Neurospora crassa OR74A: one gene and its partner. The protein of the gene in region 2 interacts with the protein of the main gene of each other region in a biochemical or structural test. Links are inferred from orthologs where the notes say so. Each region holds a gene or a part of one and is shown on either strand. Other genes may lie near its edges.

Region 1 (7,491 bases), on a different chromosome or scaffold from region 2:
TCTGGCCAACAACATCGTCCTGCTGTCCTCCAAGTCGGGTGGTGGTGTGGCTACAGCTACCATTACCGACACCGATATTCGCAATATCAACAAGATTTCCAAGAAGCCAAAAGTTTTCGAGTTGCTTTCACAGTCACTGGCTCCCAGTATCTACGGACATGACTACATCAAGAAGGCTATCCTGCTTATGCTGCTGGGCGGCATGGAGAAGAACCTGGAGAACGGTACACATTTGAGAGGTGACATCAACATCCTGATGGTCGGTGATCCTTCCACCGCCAAGTCGCAGCTCCTTCGTTTCGTCCTCAACACTGCTCCATTGGCTATTGCCACGACTGGTCGTGGTTCTTCCGGTGTTGGTTTGACTGCTGCTGTCACATCCGATAAGGAGACTGGCGAGCGTCGTCTGGAGGCTGGTGCCATGGTTATGGCTGACCGTGGCGTCGTCTGTATTGATGAGTTCGACAAGATGTCAGACATCGATCGTGTTGCCATCCACGAAGTCATGGAACAGCAAACTGTTACCATTGCCAAGGCCGGTATTCACACCTCCCTTAACGCCCGTTGCAGTGTTATCGCCGCGGCCAACCCTATCTTTGGACAGTACGACACCCACAAGGATCCTCACAAGAACATCGCCTTGCCCGACTCCCTCCTGTCGCGTTTCGATCTTCTCTTCGTAGTCACCGACGACATCGAGGACACCCGTGACCGACAGGTATCCGAGCACGTCCTTCGCATGCACCGCTACCGCCAACCCGGCACCGAGGAGGGTGCTCCTGTGCGCGAGAACGCCGGTCAGGCCCTCAACGTCGCCCTCAACGGGCAATCCGAGTCCCAAAAGCCCACCGAGATGTGGGAGAAGTACGACGCCATGCTGCATGCCGGAATCAAGGTGCCCAGCGGCCGCGGGTCTGCCAACAAGAAGCCCGAGATCCTCAGTATCCCCTTCATGAAGAAGTATATTCAATACGCCAAAACGCGCATCAAGCCGGTACTGACGCAGGAGGCTTCCGACCGCATTGCTGACATCTACGTGGGCCTGCGCAACGACGACATGGAGGGCAACCAGCGCAAGACGTCGCCCATGACGGTCCGTACGCTCGAGACGCTCATCCGTCTGGCCACCGCCCACGCCAAGGCACGCCTGTCCAACCGCGTCGAGGAGCGTGACGCCGCCGCTGCCGAGTCCATCCTCCGCTTTGCCCTTTTCAAGGAGGTGGTCCAGGACGAGTCGCGCAAGAAGCGCAGAAAGACCCGACCCGCCGAGGGCGAGGATGGCATGTCCTCCGACTCTGACGACTCTGATGACGATGACGACGACGTGGCAACTCAAACCACCACAGCCCGCTCCAGCGCTGCCAGAGCTTCTCGCGCTTCCCGCGCTTCCCAACGCGCCAGCCGACGCACTCCCGCCAATGGCGCTTCCTCCTCCTCCGCAGCAAACGCCAACGGCACTCCCAGAGAGGAAGAAGAAACCCAAGGAGCAGAAGAAGAGGAAGAAGACATCTACGACGCCACCCCGCGCCGCTCAACAAGATCTGCTCGCACAACCGGCGACTCACAACCATCCTTCGCCTCTTCCCTTCCCGCCTCGCAACTTCGCTCCACTCGCTCCCAACGATCATCTCGTCGCACCGCTCAGAACCAAGACGACGAAGAAGAACTCGCCTCCGGAGCCGCCAACCTCAACGTCGACGAAGACGAAGACGAAGAAATGGACGTTGACGGCGAAGCCGCCCCAGAAAACCAAGAAGAGGAAGAGGAGGAAGAAGAGGAAGAAGAAGATGAGGAGCCAGCACCAATAAGCGAGCACCGTCTTGACGTTTTCCGTCGGGCGCTCGGTCCGTTGTTGAACTCGGGACTTTTCGAGGACGACGCTGCGGATGTGGATGAGCTGATCAAGGCTGTTAATGAGAAGATTCCCGGAGGCAGGAGAGGCGGTGAACAAAAGTTTGAGAAGGAGGAGGCGCTGCAGGCGTTGAGGGAGATGACGGAACGGAATCAGTTGATGTGAGTTACCCTTCGCTTGATATTGTGAGGTGTGATGATGTCGAGGAATGATGCTAACGCTGTTTGATGATAGGTATACCGATGGTCAGCTAGTGTACAAAATCTAGTCTGGTGGACTGGAAAGGTTAAAAAACCGAATTGATGCTGTGTCTAGGAAACAGGTAGAGATGATTTTAGGTGGGTCATAGATATGGATGAGAAAAGTACTACGGCGGAAATGGTCTAGACAGAGAGACATGCCATAAACAGCCAAGTTTTGTCATTGATAGGCAAAGGTGTTCGGCGTTTTTTTCAATTGAAATAGGAACGTCATGAGATGATATGGTTCTTGAAAATGATGATGGGTACTGTCGAGTTGGCATACCTGCGGGATTGAAGATGATTTCACGCCCGCTTCAGAACATGCCATCCACGAATATTCAAATCAAGGCGTGCTATTATGTAAATTGGAGAATATGTGACAACAACGCTCACGATCAGAACCAAACGCCACCTCGCATCAAGCTACTCACTTTTTCCGACAATCTCGACGAAGCAGCGACCAAATATGAATTAACCACAGTGAGAAACGATCTCGCTGATAAGCTCCTTCTTCTCGGGATCGTAATACGAGCAGATTTGGGAAGGAAGAGGAAGCTCCTTGGAGTCGTCGTTCTCGTCCACAACCATGATATTGACGTTGTCCGTCTTGCTCTGGAACACCCTTGTCGAGATGCTCTCCTTGCTCAGCCAGATTGTGGCTTGCTCGACTTGATCCAAAAGCACAGTGGGGATCGTCTCGTTGACTTGGAGCTGGAAGTTCTTGGACCTGACAACGTCGACAGTAGAAACAAGAGTGTCCACAATAAGCGACACCTTGTCGCAGTTGTCAATGTTGACAGCGTTGGCCTTGCCCTTGACGACGATGACGACTTCATTACACCTGCTGATGAGGATGGACTGGGAAATGGAGGCCTCGATCTCAACGTTGCCAGCGGCAGCATCGTAGTTTTCCTAAAGCACTGTCAAAAACCTTGAATTTACACCACAATGTCCGGCTGGAGAACTTACAATAATCCACTTGTTGCCCTCGAGAGCCTTCTTTGCAGGTTTCTTCGCACGCATACTCTCAGGCTTGGGCGGCTTGGTTCCAGGCGGCGCAGGGCTCTTGGACCGTGCCGCTGGTCCGTCGGGAACGGTTGATCCTGCCCTGAGGGAAGGGTTCTTGTGTGTCATCTGCGACTTGTCGACCTTCTTGAGACCCTTTGTAACTGCTTCGCCCTTGTTGAGCTCAGACATGACGGAACTGAAACCACCCGGTTGGGCCGGTTCCGCCTTCTGCTCATTAATCTTGAGTACCGGAGGAGGTCCAGGAGGAGGAGGTGGCGGAGGAGGAGCTCCTCCGGACGGGGCTGGAGACGCGGCAGGTGCCGAGGGAGCGCTGCCGGATTCAAGACACTGGACGACCTCCTTGTAAGGCTTGCCGTTAGGGTTCCACACAATGCCGTTGTTGTAGTAATCCTTGGCATATTCCGACAAGTCTTTGAAGATCTGGTAGAAGGTCTTGACCCATTCTGTATGCTGGGGATCAGTGTTTTTGTTTGCCTGCATGACTCTGTTGCCCAGGTATTCGGCAGATGACAGGCTTTCATCAATGAGCTTGTCAGGCCTAGACTGAACAGTGATCCAAGCGAGGAGCATGATTCCATCGGCCACCATGCCGAGGTGGTTGAAGAAGGGAGAACCGCGGTTCTTGTCCTTGATTTCCTGAGTGGCCTGGATGGCCTCGCTGATAGGCTTGATAGCCTCCTGGAAATCGACCGAGTTCATGTCGAGCTTCTTGGACTGGGAGGCGGCGAGTAGGAACTTGCGCGTCTCGGCAAATCCCTTGAGGACACTCGCAGCCTGATAAAAATGGTCAGCTTCCCGCTCTCTGCCCACAAAATAGATCCAGAACTGTGCAGGATAGGTACCTGCTCAGCAACCAAGCCACCGATAAGATTGCTGGTCTTAACATATTTCTGAACAGTTTGGTTCAAGAAGTCGTCGAACTTTTCGACAGATTCGGGAATTGGTACTGCGGCAGCGGGTGCAGGAGTGGACACAGCAGTGGACGCGGGGGCGGAGGGGGCGGAGGAAGCCGGCTCAATGACGGCCTGGGAGCCAATAGGGGGGATGGTGGACGAAGCCATATCCTCCAGACGGAGGGTGGCCGCCTCAAGTCTGCGCAAGTACTTAGCAACGTGCCTTGACCATTATTCACTCGTAGTCTTTTTTTTTTCTTTCTCGCTTTGCGCCGATTTTTCTGGCGCATTCCTTGCTCGGGGACTGGATCTTCGTCGTCCTAGCCTCAGAGCGGCTCCCATGGAATCGGCATGGCTAAGAATGCGCCAGGTAAAATAATGGGCAATGCGGGTGTTGTAGAAGAAAGCAACTATTCGTAGGTGTGGCGATATCAAGTTGCGGTAAAGAAAGCTGAAGCGTACCTCTTGATCAAGGTGACCAAGTTGTGCATATTGTTGGTCGCCATTGTGATTATGATGGTCCCTTAGGCGGGACTTTGGAAACGTAGTAGGCTTCGCGGTCGAGTAATATAGAAGTTGGAAGGAGCAAGGTGTACTCTGTGATTAGAACTGTCGGTGCCAGCTTGCGGTATTAGCGATCCTGCCTTGATGATGATGTGAAGAGAGTGCCGTGGGCAGACCCGGATACCTCCGGTGGAAGAGAGCTCGTTGAAACAGAGGGAAGGTATCGTCCTGAATATCTTGATGAGAAGCACTTACCCTTTTCGCTGAACCGTATAATTTACAAGGAATAAGAAGATATCGCTAGATGGAGAAAGAGGAAGAAAAGAGTCCCGAAACTTGCACAAGGAGGAGGTCTGGGAAGGTGTAGTTAGGTGCCCCAAGATCTGCTGTGCTGGAACATGGGATGTCTGAAGGTTGACGGTCCGGGCTGACAACTCGTCGATTGGAACCCCTCGTCACACAACCCCTACCTAGCACGGGCATCTGCCCCTGGCGCCTGCCATGCTTGTACACTGCCTACGGGCGGCCACAGTGTACGGGGCACACCTTCTGTAGACGCAGCACGCTAGGTGATGAGCTGCTTCCCCACGATAGCTTCATAGTGGGGTCATGGTGGGTCGTCTCATCCATCGTTTAAAATTACGCGTTTCGGGACATCCTCCAACAAGAAAGAACGAACACCTTGCTGGCCGCTCTCACGACTCTGCAGTAGACTAGAGTGCACGGCCACCAAAAGCCCGCTGGGCGTACAGGCACCATCCACGCCTCATATCCACATATGAGTTACCACCTCACCAAGCATACCTAAACAAAAACAACAAGTCACATCGTGCTACTGCAACCGGATCAACAACAAGCACTCTCCCCGTTCAGAAGCTCGCTGCTTGTTTAGCTGTGTATATACGAGAACGGTAATGCTGATGCTGATGCTGAAGACTTGACATGAGTAGGTCTGCACAAGCAGTCATTTAAAGTGTCGAGGATCGAGATGACAGGATCGATCCCATAACCTCCCGTCCCGCGGGTCCGTCCCCTTTCTCCATTCCTACGCCTCGCAGTAAAAAACCTACCCCAGATAGCTGATTCTAGCTAATAAGACGTTGAGTTATCAAAACATCAGGCTCTTTATGCTTTATGCCGCCTGATGGTCAGGCAGAAATAGCAGACTAGCAATAGAGGTAGCCTAGCCAGTAGCCACATCAATATCTACATACGCGTCCATCTTTCCAAATAGGTCTTCATCCCTCCATCGGTGTCTCACTCTCATAACCCCTTTCAGTGTCACTCACTTACATAGCCCACACCCACCTGTTGTCTATCATCGCCTGGCCGTTGCCGCGTCGTACTCGCATACACTCCTTTCAAGCGTCCACTACAATTGATTGATCCTACACAGTCACCACAGAGAACAATATGACAGACAATAACGGCAACCCGGAAGTGCCCGGCCAAAGTCCAGACGATGTTGACAAAGCCTCGGATGAGAGCTCAGAATGGCAAGATATCAACGACACTCCCTCAATAATAGACTTTGTCACCCTCGGCATGTTCATCATCGGTAAGTGCCCAGGAACCACAATCAGGCACCAACTAAGCACCCCATCAGATGAAATCGAATACCCTCCGCCCCGTCCTCCATCAACCAACGTCTTAGGAGGCGCCGGCTCCTACTCCGCCCTCGGCGCCCGCCTCTTCTCTCCAGCTCCGGACCTCTCCCGCACCGTGGGCTGGATCGTCGATCAGGGCTCCGACTTCCCCCAGGCCATCACCGATCTCATCACCGGCTGGTCCACCTCGGCCGTCTTCCGCCATGACCCCACCCGGCTCACCACCCGCGGCTGGAACGGCTACGTCGGCTCCTCGGAGCGCCGCGAATTCAAGTACACCACTCCCAAGAAACGACTGACGGCCGCCGACCTGGTCGGAACCCCCTTGTTGAAGGCTAAAGCCGTGCACATGGTCTGCAGTCCCAACCGCTGCAAAGAGTTGGTGGAGGAGATCATCACCCTTCGCAAGCGCGAAGCCCGACTTGCTGCTGCTGCCGCCTCCAACAAGAACAACAACAATAACGACAACGACGACGATTGCGACGATGTTGATGACGACACCAACGACCCCAACGCCTACACCCGCCCCTTAATCATCTGGGAACCAGTCCCCGATCTCTGCACCCCCTTCGAGTTACTAAACTGCACCAACGCCCTCCCACTGGTCGACATCTGCAGCCCCAACCACGCCGAGCTAGCCGGGTTCATGGGCACCGACGGCCTCGACCCGGAAACGGGCGAGATCAGCGTCGAGCAAGTAGAGCGCAACTGCGAACAGCTGCTGGCCAGCATGCCGCTGACGACGTACACGCTGGTGGTCAGGGCCGGGGAGAAGGGCTGCTATGTTGCCAAGAATGGGGGGCGAAGGAGGAAACAGCCACCTATGAAAAGGGGAAAGAAGAAGAAGATGAAGGTAGGGCTGGACGCCCGAAACTTCCACGGCGGTCTACAGCACGACACAGACATGATGTCTCTCTTTGCCGGACTTTTGCAAGATATGGAAGACCGGAACAACGAGGATGACCCGTTCGGTCGTTTCGATGTCGAGGAGGGGATCGAGGTCGATTCGGGGATCGAGAGGTGGCTGCCCGCTTACCACACGGACGCCACAAAGGTCGTCGATCCCACGGGAGGTGGGAACACGTTCCTGGGTGGGTTGGCGGTGGCGTTGGCGAGGGGAAAGAGCATCGAGGAGGCGTGTGCGTGGGGCAGCGTGGCAGCAAGTTTTGCCATTGAGCAGGTGGGAGTACCGGAGCTGGGGATGGATGTGGAGGGGAGAGAGACGTGGAATGGGGAGAGGGTGGAGGAGAGGTTGAGTGGGTATCTGGAGAGGGTCGGATTGTTGTGAGAGCTTTTTGTGATGTTGATGATTGAGTTAGAGACGTGACGGCGGGTTGACTTGATCATACCTAACGGCTAGAGAG
Region 2 (7,367 bases):
CTCAATAAATTTAAAGAGTAATAACCCTTACTAATATTCTAGCGTTCCCTATATAAGAATAGGAGAGTAGATAGAATAGACGGTTATTAAATCCTTCAAATTTTTAAATATAATTATAGTTTAATCCTTTCCAGTTCAAGAATTTAAATCCTTTAAATTCTATTTTTTATTTATATATATTACCGCCCTTCCCTTCTCTAAATAATTAACCTTAAAATACCTTCCGCTTCTAGGATAATAAATATCCCTATTACAATTTTTACCTAATTTTTAAATTACTATAATATTATAAATCTCCTCTTATTTAAATAGAAATTTTCCCCTCTTATACAACTTCCCTATATTCTAATAAAATATTTTTAATTAAACTATTAATTACCCTAAGATAGGGTTCCTTTTAATCCCTCGGCGGAAAATAAGGGTACTACTTCCCTAAGGGGGGCTATAATTATATAAATACTATTACTACTATATAACCAACTTTCCCCTATATTCTATAAATATATATAATATCTATCTATTAAATTTCATAAGGTTATAGGCTTTAGCCGGGCGGATAGGCCAATTAATTTTTTTAACCGTCCCCTTTTTATACCTCCTCCAATATATTTCTCTAAAGTAATAATAGTACAAGAGCTAAGGGGGGCGTTTAGTAAAATACCCTTATTTATAATCTCTATTATTGGTTCTAATACCTTTCCAGTTAAGTTCTTATAGGGGGCGAATGCCCGTAGCCTTTCAACATACGCAACGGACGCTTTTATAATTACCTTTTAGAAAATAGGGCATTCTTTATAATTATACGTATAATACCCCTTCTTCCTATATAATTTATAATAAATAAGTAATTTATTATTATTAAATAGACAATTTACTTCGTTAAAATAATCTCCTTTATATTTAACTTCGCTATAATAGGTATAAATATTAATTTAATAGTAGAATCTTATTATATATCCAATTCCTTAATATTTAAAGTATTATTAAATATTATTTAAAGTTTAGAATCATTTGTATAAATATACGCCGCTATTTTAAAGGAAGAGGTTATTCTAAAGGAAGTACACCGCTAATATAGTAGCGACTTCTATAAGGAATAAACTTCTATTCTCTCCGTCCCTTCTCTTCTATAACTAAACTCTAATAATAAATACCTCTAAATTCCTCTCCTTTATTATATTTAAAATAACTTCCATTATAGTATAATTATTAATATTATCCTAGGGTACGCCCTAAACCAATACGCTTATAATATTTATAGTAATAAAAATATTGGGGCCGAAAATATCTTTAATCTATATTTAATTTTACTAGTACTAAATATATATAAATTTATTAAATATAATTATGTAGTTATTAATTATTAATATTCTAATAGCTATATAAATTATTAGGCTAAGTTTCTTTTTACTTAAATAAATAATTAGGGTCGTCTTCATATCTTTCTTTAAATAGTTTATAAATTTAATAGTAATTATTATTCCCTTAATAATAAACTATTACTCAAAGTTAAAGGGGATAAATTTTTTAATAATAGTAAATAATTATTAAAAGATAGTACTAATTTTACTCGGGCTAACTTTTACTATAATATCGGCCCAATACTTTAATACTTCCTAAACGCCTTTCTTAATTTCCTTTAAAATATCCTTCTTTAAATTATTAAAATCCTTCTTAATAATAAATTAATCGATTCTAACTTTACTAACTTCGGGTTATATAAACCTACTTTTTTTAACGTATACCTTTATAAATTTAAGAAGTAATTCTCGAATTTAACGACGGTCCTTAGTCGAAATAATATTATAGTCCGCAAATTTATTCGCTTTAACAATAAATTTCTTTAATATTTTATTATCTTTATTTATTTTATTTAAAGTCTTTATAGTAAGTACGGCTTTAGAATTGTTATATATTGAGATTTCCGCAAGCGGGTTGTAGATACTATTTTCAAATCTACAAGTACTGCTATTAATAGCTATCGGCAACGACAATACAATACTATTGCTATATTCGTCGTAAGATATTGTAAGGAACGTAAACGACCCTCCTAAGTCGATTGCTGTTATTAATTTTCATTTTAGAGTACTCCTCGACTAGAAATCGGCGTTTCCGGTTTCAAAGCAGTTTTTTAGGCTATAAGGTAGCTACTAGAATATACGGCTATTTAAACTCTAGTACTCGAGCGACCCGGAGGGTAGTGTTTTATCCTTTCTTTCTTCGTAGAACTTTAATATATACACATAAGGCCAGCACCTACATATCGCTCTACTGTCCCCTTATAGTAAGAAAGTGAAATATAGAAGGAAATTTTACAATTAACAGCCGGCCTAACTAGGGATCCTTTTATATAAGGACCCTAGTTAGAATAAGGATTTACCTTAGTTTATAGGGGTAGATTCCCTACTTCCCGGCCCGCCTACCAATAGTAGTTAGCTACCATACGCTCGACTATAGTACCAAGCGTACTCCGGCTATAGTGCTAGGTACAGCTCAATTAAGTAGTCTAACTAGCCCAGTACTCTAATCTACAGCTAATCGTATATATCTAGTAACAACTTTTTAATATATAGAAAATTGTAAAAGAGAAAAAGCTTAATGGATAAGTATATTACTTTGTTCTAACTATTTTCTAATTCTCTTTTTACTTTTAAATAACTATTAGATTATAAATACATATTATTTTATTATATTTAATATAAATTATCTCTCTAACCCTAGTAGGTATTTTTCTTATATAGTTTTATTATTTATAGGTACCTACTTTAGAAATACGAGTCTAGTAAGGTCCTATAAAGTAGAAGAGGGCAGAGAACGAGTAGTCCTAGTTATATACACCTATATATAAATCTAAAATACAAGTATAATAATTTGCAAATGAGTAGAGAGTTAGCAGAACTACCAGCAAGAAGTATTTTAATATAACCTTTTTAATAATATTTTGGGTAAGGTACTAAAACTCTGTAATATAAATTTCTAGGAATCGGTAGAAGCGTTTTCTTATTGTTATCATTTCTACTATAACAAGCAATAACTATCCCTTACGATATTACTACTCTAATCCTTTATAGCCTATTCAATGCTGGAGAGGATAAGAAAGGTTATTAAGGCAGATGAAGATATTATTAACTACTATTACAATAAATGAGAATCCTAGCTGTATTACAATCCTAGTTTTCTATAGGATTAGTGGCTTGGCTGGCGCCTTGGCTGTACCGCGCTAACATTTCAAAGCTATGCAGAGGTGTAGTAGTGTATTGACATATGTGCGCGGATGGAGCTCCACCCCAACTTCCACTTACCTACCTAGGTACCTAAAGGGTACCTAACTTCAGCGCTGCGTAGCTCTAACGACTTGTCCCGTCCATGCGCCTCCAAACACCGGAACCTTCATCTTGCTCTCGACCTCCAATATCGACCCGACCGACGTCTAGATCACCAACAATCTGTAGCCGTTGCTGCAGCTATCAGCAATTCACGATATTCCGATTGCTGAACGCTCCAGCTCCTTCGCGTCGTTTACCCATCCATCCCGCTCTACAAAGCTGGCCACTCCGCCCACCATGGCCTCCTTAAACCTGTCCATCCACGGGCCCTCCATTAAGAGCAGCTATCAGGGCGTCATCAACGGCCCTGCGCCATCTTCGGCATCTCCTACCTACGCACACTGGGCCCTTTTTTCCGTCCAGGCGCCTCTTTTGAATGCCTTCCAAGACTCTGGGGCAAAAGAGAGCATCCTGAAGGTCGAGAGCACTGGCGGTGAGTGCCATGCCGGCCCACAACTTCTCCTTCCCACCATATCCATGGGCCCGACTAATTATCAGTCGTCACAGATGGTGAGCTTTCCGACCTGATCGAGGACTTCAACGAGGGTCGCATTCAATTTGCCTTCGTCAAAGTCAAGGACCCCAACAGTGGACTTCCTAAGAACGTCTTGATTGCCTGGTGTGGCGGTGGTGTTCCCGAGCGAACAAAGGGGTACTTTACCAGCCATTTGGCCGCCGTCTCCAAGATTCTTCACGGCTACCATGTTCAAATAACAGCACGCTCCGACGGAGACCTTTCTCCCGAGTCTATTGTGCAAAAGGTTGCCGATGCTTCAGGCGCCAAATATACCGCCGGTGGTTCGGCACCCGCGTCAGCCGTTGCCCCGCCCCCCGTTGCAAAGAAGCCCGTTTTCACCCCGACTACCTCTACATCGGCCAGCTCTTTCAACCCCATTGTTGCCGCACGGATCCGGAATCACGGGGGCGAAGATGACGACGGCTGGGGTGTCGACGCACCGCCAGTCACGCGGACCCAGCTGGAGAAGGTCGCGTCTGCCTACCAGCCGACCAAGGTCAACATTGCCGAACTCAGAAAGAACAAAGATGACTCGCGTTCCGAAGAAACTCAGAAGCAAAATGACCGGCCGGAAGACATTGTTAAGGGTGGTTATCAGCCTATCGGAAAGGTTGATATTGCTGCTCTTCGCGCCCAAGCAAAGAAGACCCATGATGATCGGCCTGTAACCGTGAAGGGAGCCTATGAACCGGTGGGCAAGGTTGATATTGCCGCCATTCGCGCAAAGGCGCAACAACGTCCGACTGAACCGGAAGAATTGGAGACGCCCAGGAGTCTGGCAGAGAGGACTGCTGTATTTACGCAAGCAGAACGCTTGACCGAACTTCCCAAGCCCAAAGTTGCCAAGAAATTTGTAGGCAGCGCTGCATTTACTGGCACCAAAGCTCCCACGCCGGCTCCTCTCGGTTTCAGCTCGCCTGCAGTTCCTACCGCTACTCCTATTGGGGCTGCCAGCAGAACATTTGCGGATCAGGGAGGCAAGACGCCGGCCCAAATCTGGGCCGAGAAGAAGGCCAAACAAGGCGGTGCAGTTGCATTTGCGTCCACTCCCTCTCCCGCCGCTGCGCCTATTGCTGCCCAGAAGAGCGGCAGCGAATGGAAAAGCGGTTACGCGGGGAAGAGCTGGGCACCTGTGCAGGCACCCAATTACAGCCGAGGTCTTGAATTACACGCAACCGGAGGAAGCGCCTCGCAAGAGCAATATGAGCCTGAAGCACCTGCCTCACCGGCTGGCGGCATATCTGCGCTGCGCGAGAGATTCAAGGATACGGCACCTGTGGCGGTCCGTACGGGGTCACGGTCAGCACCAAGCGTGCCTTCTCCCGGCCCGGCCACTGGTGAAGAAGGGCATACTCCGCCGCCCCTGCCAACCGGAAGCCGTCCTTCCGGTGGCTTTGCTCTTCCTGGTCTGCCATCCCGGCCTTCTGTTGCTGACGACGAGGAAGGGAACGATGAAAGGCAGCTAGAAGAAGAAGTCCGTGCACTCGAACCGGCCGACCAGCATGAAGAGGAGCCTTCGTCCCCTGCTCGCATCGCAGTCCCGATTGCTCGGAGCGCAGTGCCTGAGGTGGAGCCAGCTGGCAATCTGCCGCCCCGTCCGGTGCCCGTATCGCAGGATCTACCGAAAGAAGAGGACCTCCCCGTAGAGGAGGATACCCACGATCCGCGTGCTGCTGCCCTGAATGTTGCCAGCGAATCTCTTGGCCAGGGTGTCGAGGTTCAGCAGGCTGGTTCAGATGGTGGCAAGCGTGCTCTGGTACAATATGACTACGAGAAGGCCGAGGATAATGAGATTGATCTCCAGGAAGGTGACTATGTCACTAATATTCAGATGGTGGATGACGATTGGTGGATGGGAACCAATGCGCAAGGGGAGAGTGGACTTTTCCCTAGCAACTACGTGGAAGTCGTGGAAGACGATGAGCCTGCTGCTGCTTTCAGCGCAGCCCCAACAGTAGCGGCGACTCAAGCCCCTGTTGTGCCTTCATCTGCGCAGGCCGAAGCGGTAGCACCTGCAACTCCGGCCGATCAAGTTGCTGGCCCAACAGCGACGGCGCAGTTTGATTACGAGGCAGCAGAAGATAATGGTAAGTGATGCTTGGAAGCCCCGCATATATCAGCCGCGAAACCCAGGCCTAGTAGTGACTAACGAATCGGTACAGAGTTGAGCTTCCCCGAAGGAGCCACGATTACGGGTTTGGAGTTTCCCGATGATGACTGGTGGTTTGGCCACTACAGTGGAGCGTCAGGTCTGTTCCCCGCCAACTACGTTGAGCTTAATGCATGATTGAAGGCAAAGGTGTCGAAATCCACGGTGCTGGTAATGGAAAATCAGCTTATTCGGTAGTCTAGTTTAATAATTTTCAGCTGAAACTTAACTAGTATGTACAGTAGGGTTGTTGCGCGAAGATATACTTTACAAGTGATAACAACAGAGAATAATGGAGTGAGTAACTGGTTGCTAGATAGAGTAATAGTGCGTAACGATTGACGACAGTCTTATTAAAGGAAATTAAAAATAAGAATTGTCGCAAATCTCAACTTAGAACCTCGTATACAACTTTACTAAATATAAGCAATATAAATATAAGGTTAGTATAATATAAATTAATAATGTATCAACTTTAATAAAGGTTAAGAGGATAAAATACTCTTGTATAATAAACTATACGCCCTAGTAAACGGCTACTATAATAAAATAGAGTATGTGAATATTTATTAAGAATACCCTATAACATCTCCCCCTAAATAAAAGGATAAGAGTATTTACTACATATATAATATTATTAAGTTTAACTATATATATAAAACATTCCATTATTTATTATAACCTTTATTTATTAACTTATATTTGTATAAATTGTTAAGTGTATAAAACGTACAATTACCTAAATAGAGCCTCTAGTTTAATAATTCAATATTCAATTCTTTACTAGTTATATTTATAATAAAACTAGCAAGTATTAAAATCCTCCTGCTCCTTTTCCTTGTTCTTATTTATATACTATATATTTAAATCGGAATATTTAAATCCCAACGAAAGATCATTTTACTCCTAATTAGCAGGGAGGTAGTTACAAGAAAGAAAGTAAGTAATAAGTAAAGTATTAAAATAAAAGCCCGAGCAAACTAATATCGAATACAGTTTATTAAATAAATTAATTAAATTAAGTATATATAGGGGTAATAAATTAGTGAAATAAATACTATAAGGAATATTAGTACTAAAAAGAATATTAAATATTTAAGGTTTGTTAATAAATAAGGTTGTAGGGTAATATTTAATATAAATAATATTGGAAGTATTGTATATATAATTAGATTTAATTAACTAAAGTAGATTAGGTATAACTACTATTATACTTAATACTATTAGAAGCTCTAGCATACCCAAGTACGTACCCAGGCACGTACCTAACTGCCCGGTCGTATAGACCCGCCCTATAAAGTAGGCTAGTAATAAAATAAGAAGATTCCTATAAAGAGATTCCCGCGCAGGTCAGCCCTCAGCTACGCCTTTCTTC

The links. The genes of interacting proteins can lie anywhere in the genome.
Region 1: the proteins of NCU10073 (region 2) and NCU08008 form a complex in vitro, tested with the Saccharomyces cerevisiae proteins (4 studies listed by BioGRID, with this or other methods). The link is inferred for Neurospora crassa OR74A from reciprocal best matches to the Saccharomyces cerevisiae genes ABP1 and SRV2.

What each region holds. Positions count from the first base shown.
Region 1 is NC_026504.1:3,896,113-3,903,603, reverse strand, and holds NCU08008 (adenylyl cyclase-associated protein), read right to left. Parts: upstream 5,046-7,491; 5' UTR 4,776-5,045; intron 4,626-4,775; 5' UTR 4,523-4,625; coding exon 4,479-4,522; intron 4,216-4,478; coding exon 3,966-4,215; intron 3,898-3,965; coding exon 3,064-3,897; intron 3,007-3,063; coding exon 2,566-3,006; 3' UTR 2,121-2,565; downstream 1-2,120. Other genes in the region: NCU08009 (DNA replication licensing factor mcm3), read left to right, coding at 1-2,013, 2,087-2,120; NCU08007 (PfkB family carbohydrate kinase), read left to right, coding at 5,934-7,415. UniProt on the Saccharomyces cerevisiae protein: The N-terminal domain binds to adenylyl cyclase, thereby enabling adenylyl cyclase to be activated by upstream regulatory signals, such as Ras. The C-terminal domain is required for normal cellular morphology and growth control.
Region 2 is NC_026501.1:4,039,183-4,046,549, reverse strand, and holds NCU10073 (actin binding protein), read left to right. Parts: upstream 1-3,325; 5' UTR 3,326-3,563; coding exon 3,564-3,759; intron 3,760-3,833; coding exon 3,834-5,930; intron 5,931-6,005; coding exon 6,006-6,130; 3' UTR 6,131-6,289; intron 6,290-6,351; 3' UTR 6,352-6,371; downstream 6,372-7,367. UniProt on the Saccharomyces cerevisiae protein: Regulates ARP2/3 complex-mediated actin assembly. Recruits ARP2/3 complex to sides of preexisting actin filaments, which may promote nucleation or stabilization of filament branches. Binds to actin filaments, but not actin monomers.